Schizosaccharomyces pombe: one gene and its partner. The protein of the gene in region 1 interacts with the protein of each later gene in a pairwise test. Each region holds a gene or a part of one and is shown in the gene's direction. Other genes may lie near its edges. The genes, in order: SPOM_SPCC663.09C and isp3.

The links.
Region 2: the proteins of SPOM_SPCC663.09C (region 1) and isp3 interact in a two-hybrid assay, tested with the Schizosaccharomyces pombe proteins (one large-scale study listed by BioGRID).

What each region holds. Positions count from the first base shown.
Region 1 is NC_003421.2:1,648,490-1,652,475, reverse strand, and holds SPOM_SPCC663.09C (dehydrogenase), read left to right. Parts: upstream 1-2,135; 5' UTR 2,136-2,186; coding exon 2,187-2,948; 3' UTR 2,949-3,436; downstream 3,437-3,986. Other genes in the region: trm44 (tRNA (uracil-O(2)-)-methyltransferase), read right to left, coding at 1-1,204; SPOM_SPCC663.08C (short chain dehydrogenase ), read left to right, coding at 3,715-3,986.
Region 2 is NC_003424.3:93,734-97,479, forward strand, and holds isp3 (protein isp3), read left to right. Parts: upstream 1-2,056; 5' UTR 2,057-2,266; coding exon 2,267-2,815; 3' UTR 2,816-3,233; downstream 3,234-3,746. Other genes in the region: hhy1 (hydrolase), read right to left, coding at 1-138.

The sequences.
Region 1 (3,986 bases):
CTGTCAGATCATGAACGCAACAAGGAATCGACATGAAATAGCATTTCTGATTTAATCTTGCTAAAATGGGAAGATAAGGAGTCAATTCATCCGCATGGTTTCCGATAAGGAATGAGTTTTCAGAAAATCGACCGTCATGAATGTTTGCAGCGGACATAGTGAAACCGGCAGGCAGCTGAGGAAATGGAATCTTTGTTTCAAAATCATGCAGAAAATAGGGTACAAGAACTTTTTCGTATAACTTTACTTGAACCCAAAGGGGATATGTCTCCCATGATTTTCTTTTTCTAGCGTCGAAGCCATATCCATTATAGCCCTCCATTAACAACAGATAAACAAGTAAACCATTTCCGCAACCAACATCAACAAAACTAAATTCTTTGTTTGATGAATAAGTTTGTTTCCACAATTCTATAAGAAATGCTGCAATAGCCAAATCTTCGAAAACGTGTTTACCAGGATCCGTTTTTTCTACCCAATTGTCAACAAGTTGCTTGGCGTATTTATCTTTCAGAATAACATAGGTATCTTGAAACTTGTTTCTTTCCACAACAGTGTCGTGAAGCATGCGTTTTTGGTACCCTTCCACTGCCCCCTTGCAATGCTTGTGTAAAACAAGTAAAAGCATATGAGCTGTTCGCAATAAACGGGAAGACAATTCCCTTTGAAAATCCTTTTCTACTAAATATAAAACCTCAACACTTGATCCTTTGTAATGAAAAGCAATTCCAGCTACTGCGGGATGATAGTATGGAAGATGATTATAGGGCTGTTCCAAACTTTTGTCCAGGTGAGGTAAGTACATTAATATACGATCATTTTCAAGCTTCTCATGTAGCACAACAACCGTTTGGTCCATTGTCGCATCCAAATTAGTATTACGAGGAATAATTCGACGATCGATCCACCTTGAAATTTGGTACCTTTCGTCAAGATTTTCGAAAACTGATTTCTGCTTGTTTAGAATTGAATCATCCTCTTGAGAATCAAGAATTATGTCTGTTCGCATGATAACACTGCTTGTCCGCTCTGGATGATAGACTAATTCTATCATCATTTTGTCAAATACCTCAGCTGCATAGCAGGTATCGTGCTCCAAAATGGATTGCCATTGGTAAGATGACTGCAAGTCATAAGGAACAGGTGGATCACATGTCAAAGCATTTTTTGGTTCTCGCGGCTTCCAATACGCAGGAACCTTCATAAATGCAATGCGCAAAAACCTTTCAATTGAACAAGTACGAAAGTACTGTTAGCAGAAAAAAAAATGTCGGAAACTCTAGCGCTTAATTTTAAGCATGTTTAAGGAACGCTTAATATACGTTAAATAAAATACGGATGCGTTGGAGATTTCAAAAACATTTGAATCTGTGTCTTTTCCTGTAGTAAAAAGGGAGAAAGGATTGAATAAATGGTTTGCTCAAAGTTTAACTAGCATTTCCATGAGTTCAGGAATTGCTAAAGGGGAACTTAAGGGTCTAAGCTCCTTTCAAATGAGTAAACAGGTAAATATTAATTCCATAAGGTAAACTTTGCGAATTTTTTTATTCGCAAATTTCCATCCATTTTGTATTGGTCATATAGTCGTAAAGAAGCCTAATCTTGAGATGCTGTAAAACTTCATGTCATATAATCTTACTAAGACACTCTATATACGATTCTCTCTTTCTCCTCAACAAAAATATTATCTTACAGAGGGTTTAAATTGGTAGAGCAAATTGACCTAAGAGGTGAACCAGTAACCTGAGAAAAAATTGCAGCTTCGATGTATGTATGAGATAGATTCTGTAGTTGTTTTATTATAATCTGACAAGTTCTTTCTACCGGAAGATTTCAAAAACGAGGAAAAGTAGTTCTTAAAATTTTTTCATCCTTTACTACGCTCTACAATCAAAATTTTCGATTTCATTAATTAACACGGCTTCTACTTTTTTTATTTTATGCAAGTCCCATATAAAAAGACTGTTAATATCAAGCAGCAAATACCGATAGAATTTTGTAGAATGAAATTTGACGCTTTTGGTTGAGAAAATCAAACGTGTGCAAAATGTCACAGCTCTTCACACGTAAACGAAATAGCGAACAAACACTCCTTATCAATAAAAGTACAGCAAAACACCAAGGAAGTGTCAGTTACTATTAACCAAAAACTAATTGAGAAACGACTTTGAGATTGTACTATAAAGATGGCTACTACCAACAAAGTTTACTTTATTGCAGGAGGAAATCGTGGTATTGGACTCTCTCTTGTCAAAGAGTTAAGCAGTAGAGAAGGAACGACTGTGTTTGCGAGTGCTCGCAAACCCGAAGCTGCTACTGAATTACAAGAATGGAGCAAATCTCATCCTAATGTTAAAACTGTTGAATTAGATGTCACATCTCAGCAGAGTGCCAATGAAGCTGCTCAAAGCGTTGCGAAGGCGGTCGATGGAATTGATGTTCTTTGGTTGAACTCTGGTATTTGTCAATCTTACTATACAGTTATGGAAGCACCTGAAGAAGTTTGGAATGCTCATTATCAAACCAATGTTTTAGGACCTATCCATGTGTTCAAAGCTTTTTATCCGTTGTTGACAAAGAAAAAAACCAGACAGGTTATCTTTACTTCCAGTGAATGCGGCTCAATGGGCGACTTTCGTGCTACTGGATTCTCTGCCTACGGTCAGTCCAAGGCAGCAATCAATTTCACTATGAAGGAACTTAGTGTCGAACTAGCTGATGAACACTTCACATTCATTTCCATTCATCCTGGAGTAGTAAAGACTGATATGAATGCTGATGCTATCAAAAAATTTACTGAAACATCTCCCGAGATGCTGACTTACTTAAAAAAGGTTACTATCATACCCGAAGAAAGCGTTTCATCCATGCTTAAGGTGGTTGACAATTTGAAACCCGAAAACAACGGGTCTTTTTATAGATATGACGGGACCATTATTCCCTTTTAGACATATCTTTTGTTAGTCATGATGGTTTTGATGCCCCTTTTTAAAGATGTTTTTGCAGTCTAGATTACAGCACGATGTTGTGTTCAAACAATCGTTCTTTTTTGTTGAATTTACATGCCCTTACAAATATTTACAAGCCTTCAGAACTTTAAAAAAGCTTAACATAACTATTTAGTGAGCATGGACATCTAAAAGATGTGTTTCATGTAACAAATTTGAGTATTCATTCGTATAAGGCTTATCGTCCAAAAAATGACTCCCGAGTGATCGATCATCTTACGGCTATCTTGTTTTTTTATAAATTTATTTTTTGGTGGAGCAATTTAAAGAGTCGTTTGTTTGTACCCAATTTAAAGCTTTTCTATACGACTGGCAACTCAGCATTCTCATGTGAGTAACTTCAAATACATATCATCTATATGATGCTTTGTCAAAGAAACCAGAAACAGAAGAATAATTTAACTGAAATTGATTAATTTATTAAAGCGGAATTAAGGGAATATGTTTAAAAAACCGTCTAAATAGGTTGTAAATGTATTTATATTGTCTTCTAATACAAAGTACAATAAGTTCTATACGATGAATTTTTATGAACTTGTCGCTGAGTATATTCAATTATGTAAGCATCAAAATTCACGGTTCAAATCACGTAAGCATAATGATTTGAAGAATTGGTATATAAGCATGAAGTTGATGATAAATTGCCGACACCAAATTATCCACTTTTCAAACGGATTCAAGGATCATTCAAACATTGTGTTAGAATATGTCTACTACCAACAAAATTTACTTTATTGCAGGAGGAAATCGAGGCATTGGACTCTCTCTTGTTAAGGAATTGAGCAACAGAAAAGGAACAGTTGTATTTGCAAGTGCCCGCAAGCCTGGAGCTGCTACTAAATTACAAGAATGGAGCAAGTCTCATTCCAATGTGCACATTATTAAGTTAGATGTCTCCTCTCTAGAGAGTGCCAATGAAGCCGCTCAAGAAGTTACAAAAGTAGTTGATGCAGTGGATGTTCTCTGGGTAAATTCAGC
Region 2 (3,746 bases), on another chromosome or scaffold:
TGGATATATTGAAACTAGTCTATCCGTTTTTCCTATATCATCGATGGTATTAGAACCATCCTTGACTAGTATTGCTCCATCAATTAGTATATCACGTGTTGGATTTACCGTAATAATATTAGCGTGAGTATACAACATTTTTCGGTAAATTTTGATTAAATTTATCTGGTATATATATATTATTAGTATGTATTATCCTATTCGGTAATAATCCGCTATGTCGGATAACTTTAAATAGATAAGCGGCACCCGCAACTTAACCATCAACGACCTGTTTGGGCTGTTAGTAATAATTATTTATTCTGGATCGATTTAGCTTTATTGGTTTGGTAAGCTAATACGTAGTAGTAAATTTTTCGCCTTCAAGATTTTTACAACGCCAACGAAATAATTATAGTTCAACTATTCCTCCAATTTTGACCTACTGTATAAATATAGTGGGAAAAATTCAGTAATCACTATTGGCTTAGTTTGAGGGAATTTTAAACCACAGCTCTATTAGAATAATAGTAACATTAAATTCTTTCTTTTTTAGGGAACTTCGGTTTTCTTTGTACTTCGTGCAAATAAAAAATGCCGAATTTATAATTCTAAAACTTAGTGACAATTGAATTTTTTTTAAATGTTTCTATATTGTTAAGCAATAAACGACTTTAAGCTTTTCATTAAGCGAATGAGATTATTTTACCCAACTTATATTAATATAGGATTGATCACCACAAACGTTAAATAAAGTTGTCAGTATCACGCTTACGAATCCAACGTTTTTAAAAACACATCTAATATCATTTCGTCTCTCCTTATAGTAATAAAATTTTTAAGCGTATACGGCTATTAACCAAGTGATCCTTTCTAAAATGTTTCCATCACTTTCTGTTGAACTTCTGTTATTATTGCTCATAAGTTTTAAAGATTTTATAATATTATGGTGAAGAGCTGTTTGAATAACGAATCACCGAAATTTACTATAAAGTTGACCTCACCACTTTTGCTTTCAAATCGAATAGACGACTGAACTAGCTCGTTATAGTCTATTTTGTTATTTAGAAAAATTTTAAGGATATGCAATTGTAAAACCTAATGCTGAGTGTAATGTGGTGAAGTCAATATACAACGTTGTGATATTATTTCAGAAAAATTTAATTCAAACTAACCATATAACATCCTTAACCGAATTGTTTTTCTATCGAAATCAGCTTATAGGGCATGACTGTATTTACAAACTTTATGTTATACTAGAAAAATTATTGTTACAAGACATGGGCTATCTTAGTAACATATAAGAACCATAACCAGATAGTCACAAGATGTTCATAAAAATAATCAATTTGACATAAAAACAAAAAATCACTTTGCTAAACGTAAACACAAGGAATAAATTCATAACAATTAACAATTTTGAAAATTTTTATATCTGATTGCCTCAGAAAACGAAAATCTTTCTTCAAAAAGCCAACCCAATAATCGAATATTTTGTATATATTTGATGTATTTTATGCGATACAGTTAAAGATAGCCTACAACTTGTGTTCATGATGCGAACATTTGCCTTAAGCAAATGTTTTCAGAATCAGAGAAGACGTACTTAAAGAATTTAAAAAAGTAAACTAATTAAATGCAAACAAAACAATGATCCTTAATTCCATGTATAGCATAATAGAATTTGTGGTTGTTCGTCACAGTGTAAACAAAAAACGGCTAGTGTAGTAATCTTTACGCCCACGATTATCCCGTCGGCATCGAAACACTAACTTGACGAACAAAGGCACTAAGCAATCTAACCAATAAACCTCTAGGAATTGAATTTACATTAATGCTTTGCTTGAACGTAAACAATTGAAGCTTTGCGATTCGTGCCTTTATCAACGTATTTTTTTTCTTTTATGGGGACTTATAACTCTATTTTTAAAAATATTTTGTTTTAGCCAATCATGAAACTCCAAAAATGATTATACGTCATTTTTTTTAATAAACAAAACATGTGTTTATGCTGAAAGCATCCACTGTAAACAAAAAAAAAACTATATAAGAAAGGGGAAATTCCAACTTTTAATTCAGTTCTTACCATTTCTTTTTACTCACTTAACTAGAAATCGGTTTTTTTAAAAAAGAAAACTACAGGAGCAGCCATCAATCAAAGCATTTCTTCTTCAGAATACAGGGAAAGTCATTTCAACTTTTCTATCTTTAAAAGTATTTTTTTGAATTTTCTGTTCAAAAAAATCACACAAAAGTCTAACTTTAGTAAAACTTTTCAGCTTTAAAAATGGGTCTCGGAAATTTGTGCTCTTACAAGCAAGATGATAGCTTAGATATTTTGCAAAAGAAGGTTTTAATTGATGCCTTTAACAAAGTTACTATTGATGGAAAGCCCAATGTCCAACATCAGCAGCCAACTTACTGGTATCCTCCTCCTCCTCCTCGTCATCACAAGGAACACAAAAAATCTCACCATCATTGGGAATATAGCAGTGATGATGATAGCAGTGATGATGAGGAGTCCTGTGAGAAGAAAAAACCCAAATGCTGTGAGAAGAAGAAACCCAAATGCTGTGAGTCTGAACAGAACAACGGTTGCGGTCGCAGAAACCAACTTGCAAGGCGCTTAGCATTTCTGGGTAGCTTTGGTGATGGTGACTGCGATGGCTGTAACGAGGCTTTTACCGTTACTGGTCCCATCACATATTTCAGAACCTGCCCTGATCCACTCACAGGTATAACCCCAGCTGTAGCTGCTGCAGCTGCTACTCCGGCGGCAGCTGCTACTCCTGCTACTCCGGCGGCAGCTGCTACTCCTGCTGCTCCTGCCGCATAGAGCAAAAATGCCCTTTATGCAAGGAAATAGAGTATTGCTGTTATCCAAATTGAGATAAAGACATTATACCATGGAAAGCACCATAACTATCAAAAACTCCCTAAGCTACTCTTGAATGTTAAAGCGGTTTCGATTACTTTCGGAGCAACGTTGTTTGTCAGTAGTTACTTACAAAGTGCATCTGGCGTTTTGAAGTTGACTTTAAGGAGTCGAAAATTTGAGATTTTGGAAAAGATAATGGCAAAATCCATTTTAACGTGGAATCCAAGTCTGTATCAGACAACACACTTTTATCAAAATAACTAATTTCCCACCTTTCTTTAGTTATACTTGCGCGCTGGGTTTTTGTCTTTTAGATAGATGTAGGCTACTCGTGTTGATGTTCACGGAATAAAATTGAGGCTGCTCTTTTTTTTTTATACAGTGTACCTTTTCGTATGTTTAATTTGTTTGTCCATGATTATTTGTAAATTAAAAAATGTGGTTGAATTCGTTAGTTGGTATGAAAGCGTTAAATATAAGACTATACTAAGAAATGAGATATGCGTAAGTGGTCGCAAAACACAGTACAATAAACAAATTCTGTAGAATTAGATTCAGCAACCAACTTAATAATTAATTCAACATCCAAAGATTTTTACTATTCAAGTTTAATCAATTAATTTACCCAATCAAGCTTCCTAAGTACGATAAAATATAAAGTGCATAAATGATCGGATTGTAGTATTGCTTAGAGAAACTACTTAGAGGTTTATATGCCATTCAGTAATTGAACATATTTGATTTAACTATTCAGCGGTTAACATTATTGAACCAACCATAAAATAAAATCAGTTTTCCTTAATATGATACGTTATTCTGCAACCTTTATTCAATTAACTTCTTTCGGCTGAAAGGATACTAAAAACATCCGCAGGTCATTTCTCAAGCT